Drosophila melanogaster: one gene and its partner. The protein of the gene in region 1 interacts with the protein of each later gene in a pairwise test. Each region holds a gene or a part of one and is shown in the gene's direction. Other genes may lie near its edges.

The links. Proteins that work in one complex are often made in the same cells at the same time.
Region 2: the proteins of Tsp96F (region 1) and CG10165 interact in a two-hybrid assay, tested with the Drosophila melanogaster proteins (one large-scale study listed by BioGRID).

The regions. Positions count from the first base shown.
Region 1 is NT_033777.3:25,876,398-25,885,257, reverse strand, and holds the start of Tsp96F (tetraspanin 96F), read left to right. Parts: upstream 1-3,830; 5' UTR 3,831-4,176; coding exon 4,177-4,242; intron 4,243-8,531; coding exon 8,532-8,726; intron 8,727-8,860.
Region 2 is NT_033779.5:19,524,338-19,533,423, reverse strand, and holds CG10165 (uncharacterized protein), read left to right. Parts: upstream 1-3,118; 5' UTR 3,119-3,155; exon of another isoform or gene 3,156-3,234; coding exon of another isoform or gene 3,235-4,330; intron 4,331-4,427; exon of another isoform or gene 4,428-4,478; coding exon of another isoform or gene 4,479-4,646; exon of another isoform or gene 4,647-4,653; intron 4,654-5,054; 5' UTR 5,055-5,171; coding exon 5,172-5,336; intron 5,337-5,470; coding exon 5,471-5,663; intron 5,664-5,718; coding exon 5,719-6,047; 3' UTR 6,048-6,514; downstream 6,515-9,086. Other genes in the region: CG10137 (uncharacterized protein), read right to left, coding at 754-896, 957-1,058, 1,112-1,257, 1,314-2,329, 2,396-2,510, 3,235-4,330, 4,479-4,646, 6,613-6,652; Dpm1 (Dolichyl-phosphate mannosyltransferase subunit 1), read left to right, coding at 7,100-7,203, 7,261-7,471, 7,540-7,950; CG10132 (uncharacterized protein), read right to left, coding at 8,183-8,400, 8,458-8,933, 8,994-9,086.

The DNA.
Region 1 (8,860 bases):
AGGCTATTCGGAGCACACACTCACTCCCAAGGTTTATTTTCCACGATGTCGCCTTAAGTCGAGCGCGGAAACCTTGGGGTCAACTTTCACGCGCCTCACGAATTAGGTAATGAAAGCAAATTAGAACGCCATACACACTCTAAAAAGTGAAGTACAATTTAGAATCGTCAGCAGCCCGAAATTCATTTTAAGCACCAGAAAGTACTTGATCTTAAGAAACTTGAGACATGCAGCAGGGCTATGTGCACATTTATTGTATCCACAAGATACATATCTTAAAATGAGAAATTTGTATACGCTTATAAATTGAACATCATTTAAACTAATGGATAGAAAACTAATAAATGTTTATATATGACATTCATAAACTGCAAATGTCATTCCTGCATTTTTAATTTGTTTATTATAGCTTTTTTTTTTTAAATATTAATGAATATATCACACTCCTGTAACTGACCCCCTATTTCAAGGCAATAAACTATGTAATGAAAATAAAACTCAGAAACTGCGGAAAACGCAATGTTGTTTTTGGAAGAATGTTTACCTTTACACTTTTAAAAATAGCGGTAAAAACGCGTCCAGACATATCATATAAACATACACATGTATGGACTCTGTCTATATATAGAAATTATATTTTATTTCCCCATTTCTTATTTAAAGCTACAAATGCACCTTTCCTTTCTAGACATTGAGTGAAGAAACAGAGAAAAATATTATACCACATCATTTTGAAAGTTAATTTTATTAAAATAATTATCAAAAACGTTCATCATAAATTTCCATATTTCACAAATAGATATCTCTAAAACAATAAGAAACGTTTTTTTTTAAATTGAACACGTTTTGTTTTCTGTGTAGGGAAATTATAATAACAACAACCGGTGTGAGAAAATAACAGATTGTCCGCATGGGATTTACAGGCAGCAATAACAACAATTAACAGACAAGAAGAAGGCCGTAAAAAGCAGTTAAAATTGGAATAAATTATAAAAGCGTTACCCAGTTTTCCACGATGCCAGTTTTCCATTGTTATTGCCACCAATTCTATAGTATTTTCACACACACAACGCACTCATACACCCACGCAGGGTTGTTGCACTTGGCAAATGGAAATGTAAAGGCGCTGTTATTAGAGCGGCGCTCTGCTAACTCGCTAATGACAATAGGGAGACAGAGCGGGATAGTTGCGAATGACAATAAGAGAGACAAAGCGGGACAGTTGGCAACTTCCTTGGTCGGTGTTGTTGTTGCTTCAATCATGTCGCTTTTGTTGCTATTGTTGCATGTTGCCAAGTGCCGTTGCTCGCACTAATTTATGTTGACTGTTGGCAAATGTAGGTGCATGTGTATTGGTGTCTCTTTTCATGTTTGTGTGCGGAATGTAAATGATTGAAATTCGTACATATGTACATATGTATGTAATAATGTATAAATGAAGCGATGGCCAAATTTATAGGGATTCTTTAAAGCTCCGAAATCAAGAAATATACAAAATGTCACGTATTTTTACAGGTTAATTAAAACTTGTTTGAGCCCAAATAACCCACATTTCTTCTCATTTTATATTTGAAAACAGGTTTAATCCATTTTAACTACGCTTTGCTTAGTGCTTTAAATAATCCTGATATAGAATTCAATATTCATGTCTTTCAAAAATTGAGTTTAAAAGTTTCTGTTAATTAATTAACAATTGTTACACAACTGTATCTGTGTCTGTACATTTCATTTTGCATTTGAATTAGTGTTGTTCATTTAATTTTTCTCGTCTCCCACAGTTTCTATCTCCCTCTTTCACCTCCTAGATGCAACAAATTAAGTTTCCCACACATTGCAATTTCAAGAGGGCGACAAAATGGAGAGGGGAGATGGAAAACTGTTAACGAGCGCTAATTAAAATGAAATTATGTGGCGGGTGTAAAGTTACAGTATCCAAAGTTGACACAATTTTCACAGTTTAAAGCGGTTATCGAAAATGAGCTACATAATTAGCCAAAATCATTGAGAAAACGCCGCTCGCATCACTCACGCATAAACTTACATATGCGCACACACACACGCAAACACTTTCTAATTTGAAACGCCCCAAAGTGGGGAACAAAAACAAAATAAAAGAAGTACCAAGCAATTGGCTTCGCTGTAACTGCCCACGACGAATGTGAAAGTGAAATTGGCGAAGATACAGCATTCGCAGTGGCCAAGGGGCGAGGGGTATACCTCTAACATAGAAGAGAGTGGACTTTAAACATAAATATTTACCGCTACCTTCTACACAGTAGTTTATTTCGTGAGAAAGAAACACAATATAAGGGTAGCTTTTAGAAAAGCTGTACTTTTTTCTATTAAAACTTTTCAAAATATTAAATGAAACCGTATATATTATTATTCACATTTTTATTAGGATTTCTAGCAAGCTACTACATATTACTAATCCAATCTTGCTTGTAAACGTTTGCTAATATAATTATATTTACGTTGAAAACAGTGAAATGCGCTACATTAGCACCGCCGACGGGGGAACCAATTAAGTTTTTAAGTGCACTGAACGCGGAAAGCATAAAAACAAGTGCGTAAAGTGGGCGCAACGTTTTTCGTTTATTATGCAAAAAGAGGGGGGGGGAGGTAGGGGCTTTACTTTGGCAAAGACTGGCTTGCAGCGCTTGAGAAATTTTCAGTACGACTAAAGCTTAGGCTGCGCTTTAAGGTTTTTTCCTCGTTTTTCCATTTCGTGTTTGGTTACACTCCACTTCGTTCCACTTCATTCCATTTCCATTCCACAAAACTCCAACTTCGCTCCACTGCGTAACAAAATTACAAGACACACTCACACAAACTTGCAACAAGCCGACAACAACAACAACAGCAATAAGGGAAGGGGGGAAATTGTCATGTTTCTGATTTCAATGCAATCGAAATATATATTGAAAAACGTATGTGGTGCACTCGATACTCCCCAAAAAAGTTGGGGGACTTTTCGCTTACTTTGCCTTCACATTCACATTCGCGTTTGGCTGTATTTTCCTTGGTTTTTGTTTTTCCCTTTGCACCGATGTTCGTTTTCGCGATAAAAAGGTGTCTGCTACATTTTCACGCGCCTTTCATTTGCCTGCGAGCCGCTTTTCATGCATATTTCCACGATCTTCGGCGGTCGCTGCACTTAAACGTTAGACAGCCATTTTGCATTTGTTTCTATTAGTAACTATTGCGGAGGAGAAACAACAACGAATTAAACATTTCACGCTTTAGGCCATTTTCGCCTGCGCGAACAGTGTGACCGTTTCGCAGAAGAATGAACAAAGCATGAACTATTAAGGTCACATTTCAAACTGTTTACATTTACAGATTTAAATATTTTGGGAAAATCATAGCCAAAGTAAATCAAAAACCTGGAATATCCTAATTTTCAATTACCCACTTTCATAGTAATAATTAAATAGACATGTTAAAATAATGTAAACAACCACAAATTTATACTTTAAAATGAAATCTACTTTAAATATGGTGATTATAGCTGAAACATTGGGGATAATAGTTAGTTAGAATATCTAAATTTTTAATTTTTAACTTTCATAATAACAATCAAAAGGTTATTTGAACATTATGTAAACACTGAAACTAAATTACTTTTAACATTCAAGTGAAGTTTTTATTTTATTGGGAAAATTGGCAATAGAACTTATCCAAAATATCGATAGGCCACTTTGGTTTGCGTATAGGCTGCAAATCCAAGCAGGTTGCAAGCCATGCTAAGCCTCATCAAAGTTATTCAACCACTTCTTTGGTATCTTCTAAGGGTCACCACTTTTCGGTTTTTAGCCTTTCTATACCCGCTGGTATATTTGAACGGCCGAGCTAATGGTCGCACTGATACAAGAATTTTACGTTGGACGGACGCCTCGATGCACAAATAAAATTTTTAAAACAAATCGGGTGCAACGGCCAATCGCGCAAACAGTGGCTCAAATCGGTGGATTTTAGCACGGGAAATTTTAAAAAAATTTGAAAAATATAGTACAATCGAGCGGGTGTTTTGAAAAAGTGCAAAAGGTCGAAAAGTGCAGGCGACACTGCAGTTCGGGGTTCCTTGGAAAAAGAGCATCTCCAAGTGGTTGAAAAACCAGTTAAATTGCAGCTACTTTTTAAGGAGTTACCTATTTAAGAATATCAATCCGCGCCATGGGTCTCAACGGCTGCTGTTCGTGCGTCAAATATCTGATGGTCCTTATAAACATTTTATTCTGGGTATGTAGATTCCAGCAGCAGCAGCAACAACAACAATGCGAGATTCGGTTCTCTCCCATCACAACAACAACTGGAACACACGGACCTCCTTTTCGCGCGCGTGTGTGTGGGTGTTGCGTGAGCGAATGTGTGTGTGTTGTGTATTCCCTACGCCCCTCTTTCTCACGCTTGGCGCGCGGGCGGAGGGAGGAGCCGTGCGCACGCTCTTTGGAGTCCTACCGCTCTTTCAGTCCCTCTTTCCACTCTCTCGATCCCAGAGGTGCCCAAAACATAAGTTGAAACTTATTTAAGTACGGCTTGAAATATTTAATCGAAAAGGAAGTAAAAAATATAAATAAATAAATAATAAAATAAATATAATAATATATTAACTTAAATATTTTTTTTTTAATGAGCGGGCTTAAAAACATTAAATGGACAAGATTATATAAATATTCAAGTACGCGGTTAATTAAAAACATTAATAGAAGGGTTTTTCTTTTTGAAATTAAACAAATCGGTTTTGTTTGTTATGAACTATTTGACTTTAAATTATTTTCTACCATTTATAACTTCAAAACTTCAACTGGCTTTTAAAAGCGACATCACTGTATCTCTCCATCTCCCGCTCGCACTCCCTACCGCTCTGCTCGTACTCCCGCATAAAAACAATAGAAGTTCCGTTGTGGGAGGGGACACACACACACACAGACAGATAAACATTTAAGCATCTCCATTCCCACCTCCCACTGTTTTCTTTTCCCTCCACATGTTTGTTCAGTTGTTTTTCTTTTGCTTCTGTCTCTTCCTGTCTCTCTTTTTTTGTTTTATTATTTTTATAACGTATACGTGCCGTTGATATTTTTACAAACTTCGGTTGGCTTAATTCGGTAAAAAAGGACCTCTCCTCACCCCAAAAAAAAGGGTTTTACTTTCTTTGGCCAACTTATCTGCTTGTTGTTTTACGCAATTTTCGACTTTCAACATAGCCTCGTTAGGCTTTCAATTGTTTCCATTCAATTACTATCTGCCACAGCGATTGTTTGCGTTTGTTTTGAGTTTCCTTGAGTTTTTCTTGGGGTTTCCTCTTGTCTTCCGCGGCTTGCGAAATCAGTTTCGCTTTTCCTTTGGGCAACAAATTTAAAATTTTGATTCTTATGCGGGCTGATTTCTAATTTTTTTTTCGTTCGTTTGTTGATTGTTGCTGCCTTTTTTCGATTTCTGTCTATAGTATTTATTAGTCAAAAGCTATTTTCGAATACGGGCGAGGAACAACACAAACTTACGCGTCCGTTCAGTTTTTCGTTGTTGTACACAGAAAGAAAATACTGATGCCTAGCCAAGTTTCGTGTTTGGAAACTTTCGAATACCTTTCAATTATTTTTCGTTTATTGTATATATGTCATGTAAAAAAAATTAAAATTAACCGATCCCAATAAGATTATATCCAATAATTGGTTTCTGTGTAATGTTCCTTGATCTGTGATGTTTTAGTATTCATCGTTGTTGTTGTTGGATGCACAGTGGTGTGTTTGATTTCAGTGGAGGAACAATGAGCGATAGAAATTGTGATGTGTTTGTGATGCAGTTCGTTTCACTAATCGTTTGAACTATTTTTAGAGCGATTTATGGATGAAAGTGCGTCAGATATTATTTTATATAAGACTTTTTATACATTGTTTTGAGGCTATTCTTAGCCAGGGCATGTTATCAATTACCCCACAAAGCCATAATAAATTTAATAATAGTATTTTTATATAACTTCGCAAAAAATGACCACTGTCCGATTAGTTTTGAATCTCGCTCTCCACTGTGCATCGATTTCCAAACATTTCCATTTTCATCGTCGCCGTGGGGCATCGTGATCAAACGCCACGATCTCTGAGGACGCTGACGCTCCAATGGGGCCGATATCCCACATCCAAGATGCTGGGGGAGGCCTATGCCATAAGCGTCTAAAATGCTAAACGGCCGGCGCTGTCGTCATTGAAGTTGACAGTGACCAAAACTGAAAGATTTCCAAATATTCGGTCGACCATCTGACAATCCTATCCTGTCCACCCACTAAAAAAACCATTTATTTCAGCACAGTCAGACTTCCATAGTGCAGAATTCTTAAATTCCTGAAAAAAATGTAATCTTTTGCTGTGAATAAAATAATATTTAAAAATATTTCTCCAAGTAACGAAGCTGGCCTGTATCTATTTTCAATTCGCTGTGACATGTCACATCTACATACTTAATTCGCTGTGCTATTTTTCACTCAATTATTCATGAGTGGCGCTTCATTCATTTTTCAGTTTGTATTTTCAGCTTATGGCTGATGCATGATGGCTGTTGGCTGCGATTTGCCATCGATGCGGTTAATTGTGGGACAAAACTGTGACTGGACATGCAATGCAAGCCCAGCTGCCTTTTGGCCCCATTTTATTTTTTTTTTTGCAATTTAGCAGCAGTAAAATGCTCTCTCGTTTTCCGCTTTCGACGCCTCGGCTCTGAAAACTGGGTCAACGAAGGACTCTGTACATTTATTGGCCCATTCGGCAGGATTTTTGTTTGTTTGTCCTGGACACGCGACATAGTGTCAGATGTGTAAAAATATATGTGTGTGAAAACGTTCGGGGAATCGTAAAAATTCCAACAAACAGAGCTACAAACAAGGCGTGGATTCAGTTCGTTCAGGGATAATGGGACTGATTCAAAACGAGGTCAACTTTTGTTCCCTAAAAGGATAAGGGAATTGAGGTTTATCCAAAGTAGTATATACATACACATACTTTATAAGAGCTCTAGGAATAAACCTCTTCTTCAGAAACATTTTTTTTTTTAATTCAACACATGAACAAATTCAAGATTATGTTACTGATCCATACCCGAAAACCTGACCTGGAAAAATAAGTAAAATCTATGCAAACAAGGGCTTCTGGTTACAATGTACTTACTCAATAAACTGCCCTCGAATGGGGCAACATTGTATTACGTTTCCATGAGTAGTTTTTCCGTTAGCTGCACACATGCACATTCATGAACTTTAGGGCCAGCATATCGTGCACTTTGTGGCACACTTTTTGTCTCGCTCACTTTATGGCAGCTCTCTCTTTCGTGGACCACCCACATAAAAGCCGGTCTCCGCTTCTCTTATATTTCATAAGATTTTCATGAAATTTACGAGACTTCCTCATGCTTTTTCATCCGTTTTTCCTGGGCGCCAAAAACTGTATCTTATATTTTGCTGTATCTTTAAGTTAAATAGATATTTGCTTATTGCGAGATCCACTGCGTAATCTTATCGGAAAGCACTGATGCTCTTGGCAATTACAAAAGCTTGCGGGCTGAGAAAAAATACGAGATAAGAAGTGTTTTGTATTTGGAAATGCTTCTCAGTTAGCCATCGGTTCTTAAGTGGTTCTAAATTTACATATTTCCCATGTAATATGTGCACTTGTTTACATCTCTTGATTAGCTCTCATCGCACACTCAATTTCCCTGCGATGAATAATTTTGCTGAATAATTAATGAACTTGCATAGACACCTCGACCAACCCATTAAGTCATTACCTCTATATTAGATTCTCTTACTCATTGCACGAGCGGAACAACATTTTTCTGGTGGATGGATTGGCAATAGCAAGTTTAGTGTTTAATATCTGGGTAGGAAAATTTAAGAAGAAATACATTACCGGAATTCTTTTAGCGGAAATCCAAAGAAAAGTTCATATTTCGTTTGCTGATAACCCGAGAAGTGAGATAACACGAGCTCGCAATTCTCATATTCTCGCTTGGGATCAATGTCTTGCCACTTCTATATGTATATACATACAGTATGTCTTGGCGATGAAGGCCAAAATTTAACTTTAAACCAAATTTTATCGCATCATTGATTTTCAAACTTAATGGGCCTTTTCTTATCGGGTTTTGAAAGTTCGGAGCTCAAAAAGCTGCCTTTGAATCTGTATACTGGATAGAATTACTGATTTTTTTTTTAACAAATTGAATGGAATGGGGAAAATTGTAATTTGTACTTGGTTTCTGTTTACTGCCTTTAATTAAATTAAAAGAAGCGCAACAGCAGTTGCTATGTATATAGTCTGCGTCCAACTAAGCTGACATCATATGTATGAAACTATAGAAGTTTAAAGCAAGGCGAAACTGGGCGGGGCAGTCTCCCACTTTAATTGCCGCCTTGCCGCCAGATGGCGTCATTGACGCGTGTGCCCAGCGTGAGATGGATGCAACAATTTGAGAATTACAGCGAAAATGTGTAAAAATAGGTAATGCTCTACTATATTTTGTATTCTTTTCGCTTGCAGCTCATCGGACTGACCATCGTGGTGACCTCCGTTTGGATGCTGACGGATCCCACATTTATGCTGTCGATGACACAGAACTACAATCATTATCACATAGCCCTGTATGTTTTCCTCGCCATCGGCATACTGATCACATTGGGCGCATTCTTTGGCTGTTGCGGAGTCTGTCGTGAGTCGCAATGTCTGCTGGTTTCGGTAAGTGAAAAGTAATATCATAACCAGTGTCTGGGAATTCCAATTAAAATGCATGCAAATGTGTGGCCCACACGGTTCCGCTCATATGATTGCAACGGAGGTTCGCCCACAATGTCTTGGCAGTTTGGCAAAAC
Region 2 (9,086 bases), on another chromosome or scaffold:
AATAGTGGTCCAGCAAATCGTAATAGTCGATTCAATCCGATTTGTTTCGAAAATGATTGTATAGCTATCAAGAGCAATTAATGTTAGATTTTCTAGTTACGTATGTAAAAATGATTAAATTAAACGAAGTAGTTAATTTCTTGATAAGTTGTTTGATATTAAAGTTTAAAATACCCATGTTTGACAATTTATATTATTTGATCTTTTATTTGCATTTTCCTAATGCTGTGGACTGCAGTTGTTTCTATTTGAATGACTGCATTGCCCACACATAACCATTTATGGTTGGTAAATCGTGCAATTGTGTTGCATATTCCTTATATGCAAAGCAATTAAAAATTTATTAAGGAATGCACTCCAAGCATATAAATTGGAAATTTAATGCAAGCAAGGTAACACATTTATGGACTAGAGTAATACATTCAAACCACTCAAATTCATGTTTAAAACGGTATGGATGGGCTTTATTTATTGTAAGGACGTTTCAAAAATTCTCGTTACATTTAACAAATCACATTGCGTACAAAAAATACAAAAGAATGCACATAATAGATCTAACTAATCGGCTTAACAAAATGTGACTAACTTAAGTGCTCTGAGTGAGAAACGAATTGGTTTAGTTGTTTAACTAAATGAGTTCGGCTGCTGCGACTGAAATTAGATAGCTTCCTTGAGTAGGTATCCTGACTAGAATAGTTGCTCTAATAAATTCGCTAATTCGCTAGGCCAATAGATCGATTAAGTGTACGCTTTCTAATTTGACTTCTTGAGATTCCTCTTGCGTATATTCCCGGGACAGCCGCCGGCGCTGAGGAGATGCAATTTCCAGCCGCCGTCTTGGGGAAGGTGAACATCGTCATGACAAAGGGGACATCGAGCAGCACCCGTTTTCAGTTCTGGAGAGGGGAAATGGTGATATAGTGACTCTAGAATTTATCTCAATTTCAAGTTTCTACCCCGACAATAGTCCTCCATCTGATGTAGTTCATATAGCTGCTTGTGCACCGATTCAGTGCAACGGACACAGACCACGTAGCTCTCCTTGGCATCGCATTCCGCTGGGGAATATTCACAATATTAGTTATCCTACGGTATTATATTGCAGACCTACTTGTCAGGTGGTAGTTCAGAGCAGCAACCTCCAGCACTTGACTGCATTGTGGGCACTTGGTGAGGAAAGGACACGCCTTCCAGTAGTGTCGGTCCAACTGAGTAGCGTCACTGCCGGCACACGACCAGTCGCAAAAGGGGCAACGTCTAAAAGAGTATTAATATTATTGCGGATCCTTGAAGAATTCAATTTTACTACACACATTTTGGGTGTGTTGTCTTCAGTGGACTCCGAGTTGGAAGCGGATCCCTTGCGCGAGTTGCTCACGGATAGCATGGAGCGCTTGAGCTGCTCGTTGTACTGCTGCTTTCCATTGCAGCTGGCATATCCATTACTGGAGCTGGCCATTGGGCCTAGGTTATGACCACTGCGGCTATTCATCAGTCGAGAGGCATCTGAGCTGGTGGACGCCTTATCCGCCGGCGGTGTTGCCGCATCGCCCGAGCTGTGACCCCCGCCATACTTGCTAGCCTCCAGCAGCTCCTGCTTGCGGTCCAGATCCAACTTGTCAAATTCGGTGAAGAGTTGGCGGTACAAGAGATTGCGACGCGTGATGTCGTCATCCGGAGGTAACTGCTTGCGCACCAGTCGGGGATTCACCTTGTAGACGAGCAGCAGGATGCGCTCGGCCACCTTTCGCACAGGCTCCGCTGGATGATGGATGCCGGAGCAGCCGCACTCGGACAATGCCCTGCAGGTGAGTCCACTATGCTTGTCCGTGCTAATGCCCTGAGTGTTGACCAGCTGCTCCAGCATCTGCAGCCGACTCATTGCCAGTCGCTGGTGGGTTCCGGATCCAACGCTTCGTGATAGTGCTGGCGCAACCAGGTGCTGCTCCGCCACCTCCGGACAGGCGGCGATGCTTAGGATCGTGTGCTGGGCCAGAGTGTGCAATCGAGCAGATGGATCGCCGGACTTGGCCAGCAATTCGGGCAGCAGGCGGTCCACGCAACGTGCCACCTCGTTGGGGGAAACTCGACCGGGCACATACTCTAGGAACAGCATGCGTACCGTCTCAGTAGCTTGGCTAAACACGGAGTAAACGGCATCTCTTACAGCGCGATGCAGCAGAAGGGCGGCGCTGCGGGCCACTTTGTTGGGACTGGCAGCGTGCTCGTTGCTCGACGCCTCTAACAGGTCGTGCTCCTTTAGGAAGTTACGCAGACGCATCAAGCCATCCTCGCGGTCCTGAAACTGACGCGAATAGAACTGCTCCACCTGGGAATATACATATGTAGGGCACGTATTGAATATGTTATCTATTGGATTTAATGGGGGACTCACCAGCTCATTGCCGAAGACCAGGATGGGAAGCGCTGCCTGGCGACGCTCGCGGTCGTTCAGGCGCGAACGCCCACGGTTCGGATCCGCTTCCAGTAGCGCGTTGCCTTGGCACTCCCTTAAAAATTCATTAGTATTTGAACTGTGAGCGGTTTGTGTTTGTTGTATCGGAATGGCAACGTTTACGGATGCGGTTACAATATACATATAGGAGTAGAAAGGTAAGTACGATTAAAGGTAAATCTAACAACATGTTACTTTCAAATGCGTTCAAATAACGCCTAATTTAAAGTTTTGTGTATAGTTTCGAAATTTCATTATATGAAATTAACTATGAAACCGTTCAAACTATTTTTAATCTTTTATAAAAGTTTCTAAGTTGTTAATAAAAACATAAATACTTTTCTCTAAAAGCAAATTTTAAATACTTTTTAAAATATCTAAAAGCAAAATTTCTGTCAAAAAGCCTAACATTTAAAAGTATCTCAAAAATACCTAATTTCAATATATAAAGAATTTTTGCTTTTGCTTTAAAAAGATAAATCCTTTTCATGTGTTTAGAGCAGATAAAACGGCTTTACTTAAAATTAAGCTAATAGATTCTCTTTCGTTCTTTGAAATTCTGGGCGAGCGTTAAATCTTAAATTAAAAAAAGTAACGGGTGTTGTTTCTAACGGTCGCTAGTGTTGACAAACATTCAAACTAAGAGTACCGGTTATCATGCAACACTGTAATAGACAGCTGTTTCCAGTAAACAAACGAAGTAATTACTATTCCACAATTGTTTACGTATTCACTAGACACCCAGACAACGATTACGACTCTCTACGCCCGCTACTCACTGTCGCAGCGTGGGAATGGCCCGCTCCTCGTAGTCTTCGTAGGAGTTTCGTGGAACGCTCTTGTTGCGCCTGCGCAGCGATCCCTGTCGGCTGGACATTGGTGAGCTGTGCCTTGAAGGCAGACGTGGCGACTGCGGCAGCTCGTCGTGGGACTTGCGCCAGCCCCCCAGCGTGGGAGTGGGCGTGGCCTGCAAAGAGGTGGGCGCAGGAGCGGGTGCTGGAGCAGGTGCCGGAGCTGTCAACGTATTGTCGTTACCAGGCTGGGAGCCATCGGTCGAGGATTTGTCCTCTAAGCTGAGACTCGTCATGCTCTTGGGACTGAAGGTGGCTTCCGCAAGTGCCTGTGCCACATCCTGCAGGCTAGGAGCCGATGGCAGACTGGGCTTCCCACCCGCATAGATCTCGCAGCTTTGGTCATTGGAGCTTAAGGTCACACCCTGCGGTTCCAGAAGCTGATGCACCTGCAATTGTCGAAGTACTGCCGCCCGGTACATCTCGATCTGCTCCTTGCGTAGCCTGGCCGTGGTAAAGTCCTCCTGCTGAACAGCCTGCCTCTTGGCCAGAGCATAGCGCCCCAAACGTTCTCCGGCAGTCCTTAAAGCTGTCATGCATAGCTTCAGTTTGCGGGCGTACTCGAATCTTTCTGAGTTAACGGCCAAAATCTTTCGCTGTTCCAACTCTCGGATGGTCTGCACTATTGACTCCTCCACATACATGGAGAAAAGCAGGTCATCACAGACGGAGGCCAGGGCCAGTTCTCCGGTGGCCGTGTCCAACGGTGGGGCCTCGTTGGCCAAGTGCTCCTCTCCGTTGCCATTATTTGGCCCCACTTCCAGATCCTCGCCCAGGACATTTACCGCTAGTAGGGAAATCTGGCCTGTGTCATTGTAGTCGTTTCCTTGGACGCCAATCAGACGCAGCTTAAGATGTGTGCCCCTACGTGGACACACGGTTACGCTCTGCAGCTCCCGAGACTTGTAGTTCGTGTTGGCATTATCCGCCAGGGCAACAAAACCCAAAAAGTCAAAGTACTGCGAGGATGGAGTGCTGGGCAGGGATTTGGGCGAGTAGTGCAGCCAGAGTTCTACTTTCTCAGCTAAACGAAAAAACAACACATTATAGGGAATACTCAAGCTGTTTGTTTATATGTTCATCTTTGATCATACTAAAGATCAGGCATTGATTATTTCTAGGTACTTATTAGGCTTGTAGCCAATTCCAATTAACTTAGCACATTAACTTACGTATAAGATACTGGTGTGCCAGGAGCTGGATGCGATAGATCTTGGCCGGCTGCTGGAATCGGAGGATGATGTCATGTGAGGTGAGGCTGCCGTTCGGAGCACTTCGCCATCCGTGAACTGTGGGGCCGTGATTGTTTAACTCGCTAGCCGGAAAGTTAACATCCTCGTCTGAAAGGCAAGCGAAACGATCCAATCATCATTACTTTCATGACGTTATAACCTATGTATAGGTGGCGCAGGCCATTATGACTCTCTTAATAAGTCTCTTTTTCGCACACTCAGCTAAATAGTTGCACATGATAACGATATCGGACTATGTTTCGTTCTCTTTCGGTTGCTAAGCTAACAGCAGCGGTCAAAACGAAAGCTAGCATTCAAGCGTGCCCAAAATAATAAGCCTTAAAATCTATTAAATATTCAGAAACAGGTTATCAGTTATATATGCGATGAAACGTATAAAATGGAAAGCATAAACAAAAACATTTGAGTTACTTTAAGAATTCTCAACTATCACTATTTATTCGAACGCAGCTGTACGAGTACAAACGAATCTAACTTGTTGTTCTCTATCCTCAGGTTCCACGCTCTTCTCTTCTATATTTAAGCGATGTCGATGTTAACATGCTAGTTTAGTCGTCGCTCAGCCGTTCGTGTTTTGTTACTGAATCAGATAGTATTATTGAATCTTTTGAAATGGCGGAGGGTTACACGAAAGCCACTGCCTGGCTGCAAATCCACAGCCTGCTGAATAGCATCAACCACATTCTGATCTTTCTGGTGGCCGTCTTCTTTTTCATACTGGCGCGCAGTCTGGAGTTCAAGGATACCGCCATGCATATGTTTATGACCGGGACTGGAGTGAGTACACGGCGATAAGCACTTGGCCACAAAATCAATAGTGTTAGATCGACCTGGATAACACGGACATGCAACGTCACTTGTTATCTTATCGAACTGGAGCTGAATTAAAAGGCTTTTCTTGCTCTCGACAGTTCCACGTCCTTATCGCCCAGGCCATGATGTCGCATTCGAAAGTGAACCCGCTCACCCGTTGGCTGTCGCACCGAAACAAGTCGCGCTTCCACGCCATCCTGCAGATTGTGGGTGGCTCCATGGTGCTGTTGGGCTCCCTGGGTAAATTTTCCAGCAAGGAGGTGCACTTTAACACCTGGCACGGCCGAGTGGGTGAGTAAATAATTAGGTTAATTCAGGAAAACCGATTAAAGCTGACATTTTGCAGGGGGAGCTGCTTCCTTTTTCTGCGCGGCCAGCATTGTAGGCGGTTTTGTCAACTATTTCCAGCCCAAGTTCGCCCTGAAAGTAATGCCTCCATCAGAGCTTCGCTTCCGCCATAATCTATTTGGATTGGTCACCTTTAGTCTGGGAATGGGCGCCATTTACCTGGGCTACTATTCGAAATTCTTTACCAAGTATGTGGATACTGACTTTATTCCCGGCATGATGCTGATTACCGGCATTGTTTATGGACTCACCATTATCGCGCCGGTGTCATCGCTTCTAACTAAACTTAAGTATCGGTCCAAAAAGAAGGCGGAGCAGGCCCAGTAGGTGATACTGGGGAGGATGAGGCTGAGGCCATCGAGGCTAACCAAAATTTGTCAGGTCCTAGCATGAAAATAAAGAGCTTGGCGTTTGGCCAAATTTAAATCTCTGGCCGCAACTCAAATTGCACATGCAGACACAAAAAGAGTCGACAACCCGGCAGTCTGACAATATTATAATGAAATATTACAGTCATCGTGGTTGCAGTGGTTTTAGGACGTGGTAAATTGGCCGAGACTTTGGAAAATTGATTTAGCATCCTGGCCATATTTAAATCGGACTATTGCCAGCTGATTAGCTGCAATTAAAAAGGCAGCGCCAGTCTATTTTAAATTCCAACGTCCTGGCGCACTAGGCGTATGCGTGATTTATCGATTTCTCAAGTGCAGCGAATTTTAAAGGAAGAAAGGGAGGTGGAAGACGTTTAGCTCTCAGCCAAATCCTGTCGCAACTAAAAATGCAATTAAGAACATAAAAAACACACAAAATAAAGCAAACAAATAAGAAAACTATAAATAATAAAAATCTTTCTGCAGCTTTCAGTTCATAATATATCCGAAGTTTTGTTTACCTGAGGCGAACACCACGTTAAAAGGTATTTTCTTAGCCATGTTGACGTCGCGCCGTCAAAAGCGCACTACTTTGCCACTTTTATTCGCTAATCCGCACATAAAGTGAGCACTTATTCTTAAAGCGGCCGTTCGCGAACTGTGTGACCGCACAATTTTTTATGATTTTTACCCTTGTGCTCTGGAAAGTATACTATAAAACTTTATTCGGCTGGGCGAATATACCAAAAACATACATCATCTACATAGAATGTTATTTGTTCAGCTTTATATTAAAGTCAATATTTTGTCAAATTAGATATTTTAATATCATTTATTTAACACATTTAAATTTACATTTGGAATTCGATACGTTTTAGCCACTATCTAACTATCTAGCCACTATCGACTTCGCTATCGATTCGAGCCAGCTGTTTTGTATTATTGAATTGACCAACACTCTTGTAGTTTTAATTGAAATTATTTACACGGTTCTTGAGAACAATTACAATGCCAACAAATGGCCATAAATACAGCATTTTGATGCCCACTTACAATGAAAAGGATAATTTGCCCATTATAATATGGCTAATTGTGAAATACATGAAGGCGAGGTGAGTAGCGGCTGCTCTAAGGTGCAAATTCAGGTATTAATTGCTCCCCCTTTGCAGCGGCTTGGAATACGAGGTGATTGTGATTGATGATGGTAGTCCGGATGGAACACTAGACGTGGCCAAAGACCTGCAGAAGATCTACGGGGAGGACAAGATTGTGCTGAGACCACGTGGCTCCAAATTGGGACTCGGAACGGCCTACATACATGGCATCAAACATGCCACCGGCGACTTTATAGTTATCATCGATGCGGACTTGAGTCATCATGTGAGTCTAGATAACAGGGTTAAACTAATAATAAGATAAACTAATAAGCTATATTTTTTCCGCTTCAGCCCAAATTCATTCCCGAGTTCATTAAGCTGCAACAGGAGGGCAACTATGACATTGTATCCGGCACTCGGTATGCCGGAAATGGAGGTGTCTTTGGCTGGGACTTCAAGCGCAAGCTCATCTCGCGCGGCGCCAACTTTTTGTCCCAGGTGCTTTTACGTCCGAACGCCAGTGATTTGACCGGCTCCTTCAGGCTCTACAAGAAGGATGTACTGGAGAAATGCATTGCCAGCTGCGTGTCCAAAGGCTACGTGTTCCAAATGGAGATGCTCGTTCGGGCTAGACAGCACGGCTACACCATCGCCGAGGTGCCCATCACCTTCGTGGACCGTATTTATGGCACCTCCAAGCTCGGCGGGACCGAGATTATTCAGTTTGCCAAGAACCTTTTGTATCTGTTTGCGACCACATAAAGAGAAAACCACCATTAGCTGGGTAGATTTTTAAATTTTTAATGTTCTTTGGATTTTCTTTGCTTTGTACATTTGGTAAGATTTGCTCAAAGAATTTTACATACATCTAATGAATTATGCATGAGAAATTTGTTTGCCATATTTATAATAATTCAGAGTTCTGCCTTCCTCGGTCTAGCACCCTGTTATGCTTCATTTATAATTTGAATAATGATAACTAGCGTTAATTGATTTAATTACTCAAGTCGAAAACTTTGTGCTGGTTGTCTGGATTGCCGTAAAGAGTGCCACAGTCATCGTCGAGGGCGCCCGATCCTCCGCCGTAGTTCTTCAAAGCCAGGGTCAGCAAGGAGTTGCGATCCTTGAGAGCCAGCACCACGAAGGCTCCGTTCGGCAGAATCTCACAAGTGCTCACTTGCGCCGGTGGCTTAAACACGGCCAGGGATTTGGCTGCAAGACCAGAAGGATGACTATACAGTTCAGTAGGGCGAAGACCGTGGTACATACCCGAATTCAACTCCCACATACGGACGGCCGAATCACGTCCCTCCTTGTCGTAGGAGAGCAGCACCTTTCCCAATGGATCCAGCTTCAAGAACGTTACCGGTGCATTGTGGCCGATCAAGGTGCTCTTGCAGTTGCCCGTGACCAGGTCCCAGATTAGGATTTTGGCATCTTCTAGGCCGGCGATGACGCAAGCGTTCACCTGGGAGATGGCCAGGGAAACTGTGTTGCAGGCGGGCTTCCATTTCTTAAACAGAGTGCCGCTCTGTAAGTCGTATACCACAATGAAGTTGGGCGTCGTCGGCTCGTTCAGCTCTTTGGCCACCACGCAAACGTAGGAACCCTCGTGGGTGATCGCGGAGAGGGAGGTGATGAAGTCGTGGTGCGGAATTCGGAGGTCATAGAGCAGCTTTCGCTGCGAAAGGTGCCAAACTAGCAGTGGGAAAGGCTTCTGGGTCTCATCACCGCACACCAAGATTCTAGAGAGCAAACCAGAATTAGCAACTACTACTTCAGTACAAAGCCGGTCAACCTGTTACCTTCCATCTCCAGAGACCAACAGGGAATTGAGGAAACGATCTTCACCCGCCTTGAAGGTGGTCACACAATCGCCCGACTCCAGATTCATCAGA